Oryctolagus cuniculus: one gene and its partner. The protein of the gene in region 2 interacts with the protein of the main gene of each other region in a biochemical or structural test. Links are inferred from orthologs where the notes say so. Each region holds a gene or a part of one and is shown on either strand. Other genes may lie near its edges.

The links.
Region 1: the proteins of SNCA (region 2) and YOD1 form a complex in vitro, tested with the Homo sapiens proteins (2 studies listed by BioGRID, with this or other methods). The link is inferred for Oryctolagus cuniculus from reciprocal best matches to the Homo sapiens genes SNCA and YOD1.

Annotation. Positions count from the first base shown.
Region 1 is NC_091444.1:22,174,385-22,181,730, forward strand, and holds the start of YOD1 (ubiquitin thioesterase OTU1), read right to left. Parts: upstream 4,087-7,346; coding exon 3,744-4,086; intron 2,868-3,743; coding exon 2,164-2,867; 3' UTR 1-2,163. Other genes in the region: PFKFB2 (6-phosphofructo-2-kinase/fructose-2,6-bisphosphatase 2), read left to right, coding at 4,360-4,375, 4,884-5,575, 6,905-7,052. UniProt on the Homo sapiens protein: Hydrolase that can remove conjugated ubiquitin from proteins and participates in endoplasmic reticulum-associated degradation (ERAD) for misfolded lumenal proteins.
Region 2 is NC_091439.1:75,751,800-75,759,149, reverse strand, and holds the start of SNCA (alpha-synuclein), read right to left. Parts: upstream 4,325-7,350; 5' UTR 3,597-4,324; exon of another isoform or gene 2,840-3,596; intron 2,806-2,839; exon of another isoform or gene 2,408-2,805; intron 2,118-2,407; 5' UTR 2,093-2,117; coding exon 1,972-2,092; intron 1-1,971. UniProt on the Homo sapiens protein: Neuronal protein that plays several roles in synaptic activity such as regulation of synaptic vesicle trafficking and subsequent neurotransmitter release.

The DNA of each region.
Region 1 (7,346 bases), on a different chromosome or scaffold from region 2:
TGTGATCAAAACTCTTAAGACCCTGGGTGGGGGGTGGGGGTAGGGGCTGTCACTGCTGTTGAATATCCTTGCTCCATTTCTTCCCTTTGTACTTGTTGAATCAATCCATTGTAGGTAATATTTATTTTAAAGTGAGAAATTTATGTTGGGAAACATATCAAACCATGCCTGCAATATGATAAAATACTCAATAAATATTTGTTGCATGAACAAACTTCTAGGTCTAAAATTTCAGTCAGCAAATATCAAATGTAGCTCCTGAAACGGCAAAGAAAGGGAAGACAGCTTAATGAATAACGATGCAGAAAGCTCAATCAGATAAATGTCACCTGGTGGCATATTCATAAATTACATTTTTAAATTTCATCTTTTTTTGAGGAAAATAAAAATCATACAAAAATCATCTAGACCAGATGATAGGGACAGATCTTCAACCATATTCATTCACATGTAACATGATTGCCAAACATTATTGTAAGCTCACAAGCGCTATTTTTAAGGCTCAGAAAATAGAAAATGAAACACTTTTTAGTTATATTGACCATAATAACTTATAATACCTAAAACAGATATGCACTCAAGAGGTACTCCAGCAACCTCATTTCATGATTTGAATCTTCGTTGTGAATTGTTCCTTCAAGTATTTTCCCCTAAATTGTTCACATGGTCCTTAATTCTACACGGTCACCTTCACCGAGTGTAAATGCTAAAAGTAAAACTCAATTCTAAAAACATCTGCTGAGACTATATGCTGAAGAGATATTAAGTGCTTTAGAGTATACCATAGGTTTCCTAAGAGATACTTCATCAAAACTAACTTCACAACATTAAGCTTCTTCACATGGTGTGAGATAATACATAACAAACTCTAACTTAGCATCCCTGATCTTCATAGGAATTAAGAAAAGAGGTAGAAAATCTTATGTGGAAGATCTCGTAGTGCAGCCACGTGTCAGAGGGCATGCCTCGCGGACCGGGCCGCCAAGCAAATGGCTGCACATCTACGTAACTAGGAAGAAGCAGAAGTCAGAGAAAGCTGAATAAGGCAAGGGTTTTAAAACTTTCATGTTTTGGAAGAGAAACAAATTCATTTAACAGCATTATCTCAATTACTTTGAAAATGTTTCAAAGTACAAGATCACAGATTAAGCAAAGTGCTAATTTGCAGAAATATGGAATTATTCAAGAGTGGTAGTGGAGGGACAGGGCTGGCACAACACCAAACACTGTTCAGGTATGCAAAGTCTTGTAAAACACAAGCCGAAGCATAGCATTCTCACTTTGGATGAAGATGTTTTTTGGAGGAAGTTCTCGTGACAAAAAGCTGAGAAAATTACATCCCTCCAAATTTTCATGTAAAGAAAGCAAAAATCAAATACTGGAATTTCAAGGAACTTTGATTAAAAAAAAATTACCCTGCTTAATTTTAAAATTGTACCCAACATGACAAAGACCAGCACAGGAAGTGCATTGACACACGAGGCTGACGTCCTTGGAAGCCGCAGGGAGCTGCTTCAGGCACCTTTTCCTCATACATTCTACTTCACACACCAGAAATCCGCAGCAGGACACAGGCGCTCCTGCTGTCAGCGACATTCTCTAGGAACGCACTCATCCCTGTAAAGATTGCTTGTTACGTACTCAGAAGTGGTTAAGTACACACTGATAAAGTCTACCAAATGGCAATATAAAATCAGTTTTGACAATTCTGAGTATCTTCGTTTGATAAATCAATTCATAATTTAGAAACTATTAACTCACTCAGTTGTTAAAAGGACTCAATTACTGGAGACACTGGTACACGTCCGGGGCCTCATGAGAGGCTGTCAACATTACTCGAAATGTGGCGTTCTCTTCTTCTACAGGTGAAAGCTGCTGCGTGCTAGTTTATAATACTGAAACTCAATCTCCAGCAGGTGGGGGGCCACCTGTTCTGTCACCCCCGTGGAAAGAGGGCAGGCATCACCACTGTAGACACACATCTGTAAACTTGCACACTAATTTTAATCTTAACAAGGAATTTCAGTGTCTTAGTGGTTTCAAGTTCAAGGTGTGGTTCAAGCATTGTGTCCTTTGTTCTTTAGGGTCAGGAATAGCTTATTGGAAAACCCAGAGCCTTCTGGATCTGTGAGGTAGTAGGCTTCCACCCTCATCATGCATAGATCACACTTCTCCAAAGTTGGTGTGGCCTGTCTCCTTGGCATGCTCTCTTGCCTCTGCCTGTCCAGTCAGCCCCTTCTGACACACCATGCATCGCAGGGTGAAGCGGTTGACGTCGGTAAACTGTCTCTTTCTTCTAGCTTCATCTGCTAGTTCCAGTGCTTGTACGAGGACAATGTCATCGTTCGAGGAGAAGATGGTCAGAGGCGGCGTGTCTGGATCCGGGAAGTCTCGCTGCAGCGGGTCGTAGTGGATGCCATCGTAAATCAGCAGGACCCTTTTGGTATACCCCGCGTCTTCCCCGAAGCGATCGATTCTTACCGTCTGTGTATCCACTACACAGATTTCACACTGGTAAAATTTAGACAAGATGGAGATTTCAATCGCTCCTCCCCAAGTATCATCCCTTTTGATCCAGTCACAGTACTCTTGATTTGTTTTTCCCAGTATGGCCTCACTGTAGAAGTCTGGATCGCTCGCTACGATCTGTGCTATGAGGCGTCTCATCTCAGGGGCGCAAGCTGGATCCAGGACGCCTCCTTCAACCACATAGTACACGCTGGTGAAGAGGCAGGAGTTGTCTGCTGGGACCACAGTCCTGGAAAGCACAGGCAAGGTTTCCTTGACATAGCTAGGAGCACCGTGTTTTGAGAATGCAGGTGAAGCTTTGGGCCTGGTTTGGTCTTCTTCAACGATCAGCATATCGCCTGTTAAAAATAAAACAGATCCAGAACTGCAGAGAAATGACAGATGAGATTAGCCAAGTCTGTAAATTACAAATAGAAGCTGGGGTTACGATGGAGAACACTGCTGCCCCTAGGAACACTAGAAACACCTGACCCCGACTGTTCACAAAGGTGAAAACAGAACAGACTTCAAGCTGCACCCCAAGCAAACGAAGCCGGAGGCCTACACCGTCACACTTCCTTAAAAAGATACATTTAAAACAAAATTGCCTGCGAAGCCTTCGTCCGGAGGGTGTTTTCCCTAGACCGGCCGCTAGGGGGCTCTCGCCCTCCTGAAACTTGGCCTCTCTCGCCCCGCTTGTGTTTACAAGGTCCCGGATCCAAGAACAAAAAGCTTTTAATTACAACGTTGATGTTCAAGTTTTAACACTGGACACAAATAATTACTGTCGGTTAGGACTTGAAAGAGCTCTCCGTGGATGTTTACAAGCTAACTCTACGAGGCGTGCACCTGTTAAACTTAACTATTCAACGCGGGGGACTGCAAAAACGAACCAGGAAAGCCAAAGGAATAACCCCGGACCCTTCAGACCGGCTGGCCAACGAGCGACACCGGGAACGAGCGCTCGGGACCGAGAGGCAGGCCCTACCTTTTCCAACTTTTGCGGATGCACGGGGAAAACAAGGCTGAGCTAGCTTCAGGGAAGCACAGAAGGCAGGCTGGGGAGGGCGAACTCCTGGGCTCTGGGCTTCTCTTCCAGCCCTGTGTAAAGGCACGGAGCTGCCGGACACTTGGCCCGGCCTCCGTCAGCGCCCCCAGCCACCTGCCTTGCCTGGGTCTCCGTCCCCGCGCGCGCCCCTCAGGCCTTCCCGCTGGTCCCAGCTCCGATCCCTTACCTGATTGGATGGGCAAGTCCCCCAGAACGGTGTCCCCGTCGCTGAGATCCAGGCACTCGGGCGGAAAGCCGACGAGGATTCGCTGACCGCCGGGGGCGATCCCGGTGATGGCGGCAATTTGGCCCTGGAGTTCTCGCACCCGGGTTCGGCTGGACAGCCCCTGCAAAACATGGGTGCCATCCTTGGCCTTGCAGCGCAGCCGCCACATCGTGTCGGACTGGCCGCCCACAGGCCAGACACCCGCGGGGCCAGCCTTGGTGGCGGCCGCAGGAGGCGAGACGCCGCCGGGGCAACCGGCCGCCGGGTGGACTCCAAAATGGCCACCCTTCGCGGGGCCAAACATCGCGAGAAGTCGGCGCGGGCTACAGTTCTCGCGACACTTTCCGCCTCGGCCCTTGGAGGAGAGCGAACTCCCTTAAAGTGGTCGCTGGTGTTGCAGGGACGAGGATGCGCCCCGTATCCCTAAAGCATCCCTGGCCTCGCCGCGCTCCGCGCCGGCGGCTTATAAGGACAGCGCGCGGGAAGAGGGCGGGGAAGCAGTTCCCGGAGGGAGTCGGGTGGAATGTCGGCGGCCAGTGATTAGGCCGGCCGGGGCCTCCGCCCGACACGGCTCGGAATGCTAGGAATGGCCAGTGAGTCAGCGGGGCTGTCAGACGCCATCGGAGGCTCGTGGCCGCCCGCGCCGGGGCTGAGGGGCCGGAAGCCCGACCCTCCCACCCCGGCGGCAGCAGGCGGCCGGCCCCAGCCTGGGGGGCGCAGTGTGAGGAGGAGCGAGGGGCCCGAGCTGCCTCTGCAGTTCCCGGGCGGACAGACCCCGAGTCGGCCGCGTCCCCGCCTTCGGTGCCGGCGGTGGCGCGGAGAGACTCGCGGTGGGAGCCGCGGCGCCGCTGGGTGTCACGGCGAGGAGACAGTGCGGGGTCAGGTGGCCCTTCCCCACGCTGTAGGCCTAAAACCCAGGGCTGTGCCTGGCGTACAGCGCAGGGGCACGGGGAGGGCCGCTGCCACTCGCCGAAAGGGGAGATAGCTACACGTTCGAGCTGTTTGGGAGAATGTCTTCGCTCCCGGGTGGGGGGGGGGGGTAGAGACGCCCCGGGATTGAGCTCTAGCCCAAGAAGTGCATTTGCACTGCTCTTTATCCAGCCCGGACCCAGAGCGGCAGGGCTCCTCCTCTACAGCCTCCAGCATCAGCGGGACGAGGGCAGGCCCCTGGGACGTGCAAACTCACCGCCAGCGCCGCCGCCTCCGAGTGGCCACGAGGAGCCCCTGCTCTCTGCAAACACCTTTCCCACCCAGGCCCCTGCCGGTGCCGTGGAGCGCCTCGGGCCTTCAACACGACCGTCACAGATGCTGTCGCGTGGGCGGGGCGGGGCGGGGGCGGGACGGTGGGTGAAGTCCAGCCGGGCGCATGGCTGGGTCCGGGAAGCCCCCGGTCCCTCGTTAGGGTACACGGTCTGACCCACGGGGAGCGGCACGCGAACACTCGGGGCGCGACCCTCAAGAGCACGGTGGACGCCGACTCCCGGCGCCTCTTAGAGCTTTCGCTCGGGTGTGCGGATCCCACGCTGTCCGCCTGGGACTCAGGGATGAAAGCGTTAACCTCTGCGGACGCCGGCTGGCGCGGTTCAGTCTCGCGAGAGTTTTTACAGAACAGTCAGGCTTTCTGTGGGCCCCGCCCCCAGCCCTGTTGGTTACCAAGCAACGATGCAGCCCGCCCGGGAGCCCGGAGACTCCGGAGCTGGTCTCACCCTTCCTCGGGGCCAGGGTCCGCGGTTCCGCCTGGAGCCCCGCCCCCTGCATCCGCCGGCGCCCGGTTGGTCGGTGGTTCTCTCCAGGTGAGGACCGACGCGCGGGTGGGCGGGGCCAGCGGGCACGTGACCCGCCGGGGACTCGGGGCCGGGCCCCCAGCCACGACTCCAGTCTCCCGAGTTACGGGGCAGCGCCGGGGCCGCAGCCGGCAGGGGTCTCCGGAGAGATCGCGGGGTGAGCCACCGCTGCCGGCGCCTGGGAGGGGCTGGGAGGGCGGGCCGCGGGGGGCTGCACGCACCCGGATGAGGTGCCGGGCGTTAATGCCTCTCCGTCTCGGGGAGTGCGGGCGGCCAGGGCCTGGGAGCCGCACCTGCGGCTCGGCTTGGACGATTTGTGTGGTCGTGGAGGAATAATGCGCGGCCCCTGAAGGGGTGGGACCTTCTGCCCTCGCGGGCCCCGTGTAAGCTGGGTTAGGGAGCGAGCTCTGGGCTTTCCTACCCCAGGATTTACCCCTTATTCTGCAGGTGACCTTGGGGAAGTCACTTACCACCCTTGCCTCCCGTGTTCCTCCCTTAGAATCCTAGCGGATAAGCGGGGAGAGGCTGCAGGGCCGGGCAGAAGGGTGAGAACTCAGAGGAGAAGCGACGTGTAGGGCCGTCCAGGGACAGCTTTCGCCCAGGGAACGTGTTTCAAATTTTCCCACTCTTCTCAGTTTTTGAAAGTACTGAATCAACCTTTGGATTGAAGTTACTTTCTGTTTAAAAATGTTTATTTTCATGTACTTGAGAGGCAGAGAGAGAGATCTTCCATCTGCTGGTTCACTACTCAAATGCCAGCAACAGCCAGGGCTGGGCCAGCCGGCCGTCTGGGTCTCCTTTGTGGGTGGCAGGGGCCCAAGGGCTTAAGCCGTCACCTGCTGCCTGCCAGGATGCACATTAGCAGGAAATGGAATCAGAAGTTGAAGAGAAACTGAACCCAGCACTGCTCTCTGGGATGTGAGAGTCCCAGCCTGTGGCCTGACCCGCTGTGCCACAGAGCCAGCCCTGAGAATGCCTTCTTGGTAATGATCTGTTCCCAGCCTTCCTGCCCTAGATCCTCAAAACCGGAGTCTGATGTCGTAAAGAAACTTGGACAAGCCACTTAAATCGAACAACGTCGGTTTTTCAATCTGTAAAATGGGAGAGAAGTAATAATGGTAGCAACATCTGCTCTACTTAGGATTGAAAGAGATAAAAGTGTCTATGAGGGTAAACTCCCAAGTCAGCAATACACGTAGGGTTCTAGCACCACCCTCTTTGTAAGTGAGAAAATAGGAGACGGAGGAGGCTCATGGTTCCCCAAGGACAGGCAGCTCCTCTCTGCGGGAGAGAGAGCTGGCCTTGACTCTTGACCCTGAGTTCTTTCCTGCGACCCAGCTGACCCTCCGCACTGTTTTGAAGACCGTCTTCCTGCCCCTCCTTCCAGACGCCTACCGGAGAGCCACCATGTCCGGGCACTTCGGGTCTCCCTCGGAACACGGCAGCAACCGAACCGCCGGTCTTCGCATGTCGGACAAGAAATGTTGTGAGTTCTGGGACAGAGAAGGGCGGCCGACTGCCGGGATGTTATCTTGGGAATGCAACTCTGCTTCTTGGTAGGACTGGAAAATCATTCCTTGACTTGGGGATCTAAAGTGCCATCTCCAAGGGGACGGTTTCCTGTCTGAAACTAGTCGTTTCAGTGAAATGTTTGATTTTGGGGCTAGAAGGCTGGGGCAGCCCAGGAGTGTGTGAGCTGCACACTCATTTGATCTTCGAAGTAGGGGCAAGCATTGTGCACACGGTGAGTAAGGCAGATTGATCAGGCACAGACGTTAGA
Region 2 (7,350 bases):
TTTATGGTCAGGGAAAAGCAGCAGAAGATGGTCCAAATATTTGGGCCCTGTCACCCACATGGGAAACCAAGATGAAGCTCCTGACATCTTGACTTCGATCTGACCCAGCCCTGGCAATTGCAACCATGTGGGAATTGAACCAGCAGATGGACTCACTCTCTCTCTCTCTCTCTCTCTCTCTCTCTCTCTCTCTCCATATATATATATACACATATATATAAAATTCTGATTTTCAAATTTTTTGAAAAACTGTATATAATCATCTCAAAGAAAATAACAGAACTGATCTCTGAGAAATAAAATCATTTCACTTGCCCAAACTCATAGTCAACACGAAAGCAAATAAGTGTTGCAGATGATAAAACTTATTCATTACCAGGAAAGAGCAAAGTATTAAATTAATATTTAGTAGTTTCTGAATTTACAACAAATGACTAGAGGGAATGTTGACTCCCTAAAGAAAAATCTTTAAACACACAAATTATAGTCAAAGGAGCTTGTACTTACAGAAGTTGGAAAACTGAGGACCAACAGAAAAATACTGATCATCTTTGTCATTGTTTCAGTATTACCAATTCTAACTAAAATGATACAATTCATCCTTTACAAAAAAACTTGCACTTAACTTCCCAATTTTTCCCTCTTGTATCAGCCTATTTCAATGATATTTCTGAAAACATATTTGCAGAAAAAAAGTAATTTAACTGAAGACTTACGGGAAGATCAAGCCAACATAAAAAGAGTCTGAAGAACAAGGAAAAAGTACTCTGCTGTAAACTGTAAAGAGAAGCAGTCATAAAAAGCATCTCAAGTGTAAGTTTTCTCCTGTGATCTACATCTGAGAGTAGCTCAGCATCTTTCACTCCACAGACACAGGCACAGCAAGTGTATCGCCCATGCCATGCAAATGCTCACCCTCCACCTGCCTGCTCAGGCTATGGCTCCTGCTGCTGTAGTCGCCACCAGAGAAGGCAGCAGAGCTCAGAGGAGCAGTGGAGAAAGAAGAGAGGAACAGGCAATGTGTGTGTACATAATGAGTCTTCAAGAAGTTCTCCCAAAAATGCCTACTGGGAAAAACTTATGCATGCATTTCAAAAATGTTTGACACTGAAATAAACTTCTCTTTTCATTCAATTTTCCATGATCCTTTGTAGTGCCTTCCATGTGGATATGTACCTATGTGTCCATTTGTTCTCCAAAAAATTTAAAGTAATTTGCAAAATAACACCCAGTTTAACACAGTTCAAGATACAGATAAGAGGGTCAAGCTCTTGGCGGATACTCCCAGGTGGGAATTTAGAACCAAGTAGAGTGATAGGCAACAACTGCATGATTATTTTCTGCATGTCATTTGAGAGATGAACTACATAAATATTTCTGAAGATAGCTGCAGCACCTTTAAGCACTTCCTTCAGCCTTTGGACCGAGTGTCCACAGGAATCAAGGCATCACAAGGAGTAATCACAACACAGAATAACCTCTTCTTTCCATTTTGGAGTTACAGTCACAGAGCAGGGCTGTATCAAAGTCTTATTTTATAATTGCCAGACATTAAAATTAGTAAATATTATTCATCATGATAAAAGAGATCAATAGTCGATGAATTATTTTGATCATTAGAAATGTTTTAATTTTTTAAAAAAGGACTAAGTTTTCCAAACAGCCCTCTGAATACAGCCACTCATTCATTGGGGAAAAAAAGGATAAAAAAGTTCTAAGTGTTCTAAGTGTTACTGCAACATTTAAAAATCTGGGGAAACAAAAGATTAGCCACATTTTCTCACGATTAGCTCAAACATACACCTTCACATTCACCTACCTACCCAGTCCTCCGACTCAATCCATCCTTTTGACAAGTGATGATGCAAGAACGAATCACGTGAGAAATGTCAGCATTCTTGTATCCATCATTGTAACTAATCAATCAGGGACCAGTATCAGAATGACATGGGAGGTGGGGGGGCTACCTACCTACATAGAGAACACCCTCTTTTGTCTTCCCTGCAGCCTCTGCCACACCCTGTTTGGTTTTCTCAGCGGCAGCCACAACTCCCTCCTTGGCCTTTGAAAGCCCTTTCATGAACACATCCATGGCTAATGAATTCCTTTACACCACACTGGAAAACACAAAATACATGCTGAGTGAGAACTTTTTGGTAAAAGCAAGCAAAATTCAAACCATCCAAGCTAAAAACAAAACAGAAAACGAAAACACTAAAAATCTGTAGAAATCCCCAAAAGCGTGAAAACTCTTTGACGTGACCCCTCATTTCAACCACCTGGACAAAGCAGTCCGCCCCTCACTCCCACCCCAGCCCACTCCCCTTAAGCTTTAGCTTTAGGAATTTCTCCTCCCCCATCCATCTTGACTCATGCTGACCAGGGAGAGCATCTGAGCTGTTCTTACTGCATCTCAGAAGTGGAGTGGCAGGAACAGATGCGCCCTTCTTCCAACTTCCCAGGGTCCAAAGGGTGACCCTCTAAGTCAGCAGGAGGTTTAGAGGAAAGACCTCAGGAAAAGGACGGGAGCTGGGGGCCATGGCCAGGCGCATCCTTAAAATGAATCCCAGAAGAGGGGTAACAGGTTGATCCCAGGGGAGGGAAGAGCACTACTCACTCTGCATGTGGTTAAACCGCAAGACAACAAGGAAGGAGCCAGGGGACGCTCCTCTGAATCCACGGTGCCCTCCACCTCCGCCCTCTGCTATCTATCCGGAGCAGGCGCTGGTCTTCACCCGCTGGCAGCGTCCACACCCCTGCCAGCCACACTAAAGGGCGTTCTCAGCCGCACCGCACCCCCAAGCACACCTAGCGCCTGCACCTGTTAACCCCTTCCTACCTGTTGCCTTGTCCCCTCTGCACTTTATTTAGAAATTGGCCAAAGCTGTTTCCTCTCTTCTCGGGAAACAGCGAAAAAGCGGCCTACGGGGTGGCGGTTACCGTAAGAGAAGAAAAGTTGGATGCTCTTGCTCCACCCAGCACCCGGCGCTTCCGCGGGGAAAACGCACCCCGGAGAAGCCGCTGATTTCGCAGCCTTTGGGGAGGCCGGGGAGAGCTGGGTCAACATCCACTCCTGACGTGCACGCGAGGGACCTGCACGCCCCACCAAGAGCCTGGACACCGCGGTCCTGGGGTGCACCCTACCACCACCCCGCGTCCGCGGCGGCTCCTCTGCCTTCCCGGGTTTCTCCACGATTTCCAAAGCTGCCCGTTCAGAGCCACAGGTACTCACCCGAGAACTCTGCTTCTCCGGGACTCCGAGTCCTCCCCTCCCCCCCTTTCCCTTTAATTTAAACAAGTGCCAAATATTATTTAAACGGGCCAAGGGAGGGGACGGGAGCGCACAGGAAGGGCGGAGGCGGCGCCAAGAGACGGATGATCCCCAGAGGAGGCTGCCGTCAGCGCAAGCCAGCGACGGGAGGCGGGGGACGTGGGAGGCACACGCGCGAACCTCGCGTCCAATTGCCACTCCCCGTCCCCCGCACGGAGGATGGGGGAGGAAGAAAGCGAGGGTCGCGAGGGAAGGCGGGCGGAGGGCTGGAGGTAGGCGCAGGGCGGGGCTGCGTCCCGGGGCTGCCCAGAGGCCAAGCACACACCTCGCTGCGCGTCAGCACACACTCCCGCTCCGCCGTCGTCCCGCTCGCGGGCCCCTGGTCGCGGCCGTCCTCCTCCTCGCCGTCCTCCTCCACCTCCTCCTCCGGCGCCCGGATCTCCTCGACTCACCGCCCCCACGGCTGATTTGTCAGCGCCTCTCCCCGCCCCTCTCCCGCGCTCGCTGCGCTCCCGGCGCGTGCTCTCGGCTCTCGTGCTCCGTGGGGAGGGGGTGCGGGGCAGGTGGCCCCGGCCACTGCAGCCGGCCGCCTCGGCCTGGGAGGCGTAAAGGCGCGGGGCCCGGTGCTTCACCGCAGGCTCAGAGGCACCGGGAACGTGCGGACCTCCGGAGCGCTTTGGCTCGGGCTGAGGTCTCTTCTTTCCACCCGCTCCCTCGCTGTCTCCTTTCCTCTGGTTTCTCGGGGACCTCGCTCCCAGCAGAGCCTAACCCTGGGGCTTGGGGACCGAGGAATGGGCGTCGCAGCCGAGCCTGGCTCCGGGAGCGGACGGAGGAGACACGGGGCGCGGCGGGGGCGCCTGCACCTGCCCCGCGTCAGCCCGCTTCCTGACACTTAGCACACGGCCGAGGGGCGCCTCGTGCAGGGTCGCTTTTGTTCGAACATCCTCGAGGTTTTCTGTTCTCGCTTAACCCCGGGTGAGCCCGAAAGGGTCCCGCGGGCAGGCTGGGGACCACCGAGCAACAGATACAGGTTCGGGAGGCACGAGGGGACTCGTCAAATCGTCTCCCTACCAGGCTCTCACCATTTTCTTTTCCACCAATCAGCGGCTGCCAGAAGCTGATTTTTTTTTTTTCCCCATCTGTGAAGCAGGCAATAAATATTCCCCAGCCGTCGAAAGCGAGCGGCCCCAAGGCTTTTCGCTCTGGAAACGCGGCTTCGTTTCCAGACCCCAGGACAAGGTCTAGGAGGCAAATCCAACGTGGTGCACGTTGCCCTCCGAGCTGACACCCCCTCCCCTTACACGGCACACGCGAGAGAGCCCCCGCCGATTTCTGCGTCGTTTAACGCATTTTCACCCTTGTCAGTGCTGGGTGGAAAACAGCTGTTCCTAGATCACACCAGAAGGGAGAACCAGGCTCCCCCCCTCCAGCAGAAGGCCTTGCTTTCCTGGCCCGGTTCTTGGAGATGGGCTTAGCACGGAGGGGAGAACAAGGCTCTGCTGCCTCGTTTGTTCCTTGGTCTGTTTCTGTTTTTCTGCCGCTTGCACGCATCTGGGTTCTGAAATTTGAGTCAGATGTGCTTTCCACCTATAAAGCACAACTTGAAACCACAAGGGATGGAAGCTAACGACTACATAGAAAGGATAGAGATAGCTAAATATATAGATTGTTAGATAAAAGATGGATAGATGACAGGTGACAACCAATACATAAGAAGGGGAGGGGATGGTGGTAGAAAGAAATGATACAGATAGATTCCGAAGAAAAAAAAAATGTGAAAATTAGATCACAAGTATTTATCACTTAATAGATCCTCACACTCCTTGCCTCCCTTTTGAAAAACAGCCTTTGGACGATACAGCCGCTCATATTTTGTTTTCCTGGGATCAGAGGAAGAAAGCAGACACGGGAGCTAGTTTGCCATCTGATTTTAAGGCCGTGAGCAAGTTATGTCCTCCTGTTTACAGCTTTTCCTCCTGTAAATGAGGAGGTGAACTAGATGATCCCTCTCTTTTCAGTTTTTTATTATGGAAAATTTTCAGACATGTACAGAAGTAGAATCAAAGACTCTCACATGAGTATCACCCAACTTTCACAATGTTTCAATGCCTGCCTAATCATATCTAACTATAAACACTCCACTTTATCGCTACCAATCTTCATTTTTAAGTAAATTCCAAGTTTTATATGCATATTTTATCTGTAAACATTTCAACATGGATTCACAAAATGTAAATTATGAAACAATAATCACCATAGCACTTGAGAATTTTTATTCTTGGTTATAATTTACATAGAGTAAATGCTCAGCTCTTAAGTGTCGCTATGTGTCCATTTTGAAAAATCTGCACTATTTGGAAAACCCAGAACATTTTCATCACCCCACAAAGGTCCCATGGACCCTTCTTAGGTGTGTACATTCTAACACTTCATCAAAATGGAATCATAAAGTATGAACTTTATTTCCTATTTGACTTCTCTCTTCTAGCATAGTATTTCTGAGACTCATTCATGCTGTTACATGAATCACTGGTTTGATTTTTTAATGCTTTTCATTACTGCTAATAATGCATTTTTCCACTGTGACCCACCACGACCACATGTCTCAACAGATATAAATAATTATGACAGTTATTTTTTAAAGATGTGTTTATTTAGTTGAAAGGCAGAGGTACACAGAGAGAAGAAGAGGCAGAGAGACAGAGAGGTCTTCCATCCCTTGGTTCACTCCCCAATTGGCCGCAACGGCTGGAGCTGCGCCGATCTGAAGCCAGGGGCCTCTTCTGGGTTTCCCACACTGGTGCAGGGGCCCAAGGACTTGGGCCATCTTCTGCTTTCCCAGGCCATAGCAGAGAGCTGGATGGGAAGTGGAGCAGCCAGGACTAGAACTGGTGCCCACATGGAATGCCGGCGCTTTAGGTCAGGGCGTTAACCCACCACACCACAGTGCTGGCCCCTGACAGTTATTTAATATGTGATTTTATATGACATATTTGTGGTTTACCAGGGACCTGGTCCTTTAAGATGGAGGGGTGAATGAAATGACAGTTATTTTAGGTGTCATGAGCAAATCAGTGATTTATTTTGGGGATGATTATGCATCTTATAACATATCATGATCCCATACTTTTATATAGTACCTATGTTTGGCAAAGGACTAAAATCCCGTGTCACTTAATCATAACAATTGGATAAGTTAAATTTTATATAACTTTTATAGGCAGAGAATCTGCTGGGGAGATAGACTGAAGTTAATTAGCTTTATGGTGGTAGAGCTGAGATGATCTAGCAGAGACTGTACCAGAAGGCACAATCATCTGAACTGCAGCTCATCCTTGAAGCCTCATAGATTGAGTGTGTACCATGGGGAAGAAGTGGTGGGACCCAGCTCTGTTAGAAATAACCTTTGAGTTTGGATATCACAATGGAAATCAAGGAAAATGTACACTATTATAAAGCAATATATTCAGATTTGCAACTTCACCTTCTCTGTGCCAGTACCCCACCACTCCCGTGTGAGATACGGGTATCCCAAATGATAGAGTGACCTAATCCTGATGTGAACATTTTCTTAATAATTACCATACATGTCCTTCATTTTCTCTTCAGTACATGAAATATCAGTATTTTACCCCACATTAGTAAATTATTTTATCCAGGTTTATTTCAGTAATTTCACTATAGATTAGCATTCAGTGAAATGTATGCTTTCCCTAGACTTAATTTTCTCTGTGAGATAACCAAATATTTAGTTATGTCCTGTGGTAAGCCTGTGCTATGGCAAAAACAGCAGAGCAGGAGCCAGCGTTGTGGCACAGTGGGTTAAAGCCCTGGCCTAAAGCGCAGGCATCCCATATGGGCGCTGGTTCTAGTCCCGGCTCCTCCCCTTCTGACCTAGCTCTCTGCTATGGCCTGGGATAGCAGTAGAAGATGGCCCAAGTCCTTGGGCCCCTGCACCTGTGTGGGAGGCCCAGAAGAAGCTCCTGGCTCTGGATCGGCACAGCTCCGGCCGTTGCAGCCATCTGGGGAGTGACCAGCAGATGGAAGACCTTTTTCTCTGTCTCTACCTCTCTCTCTAA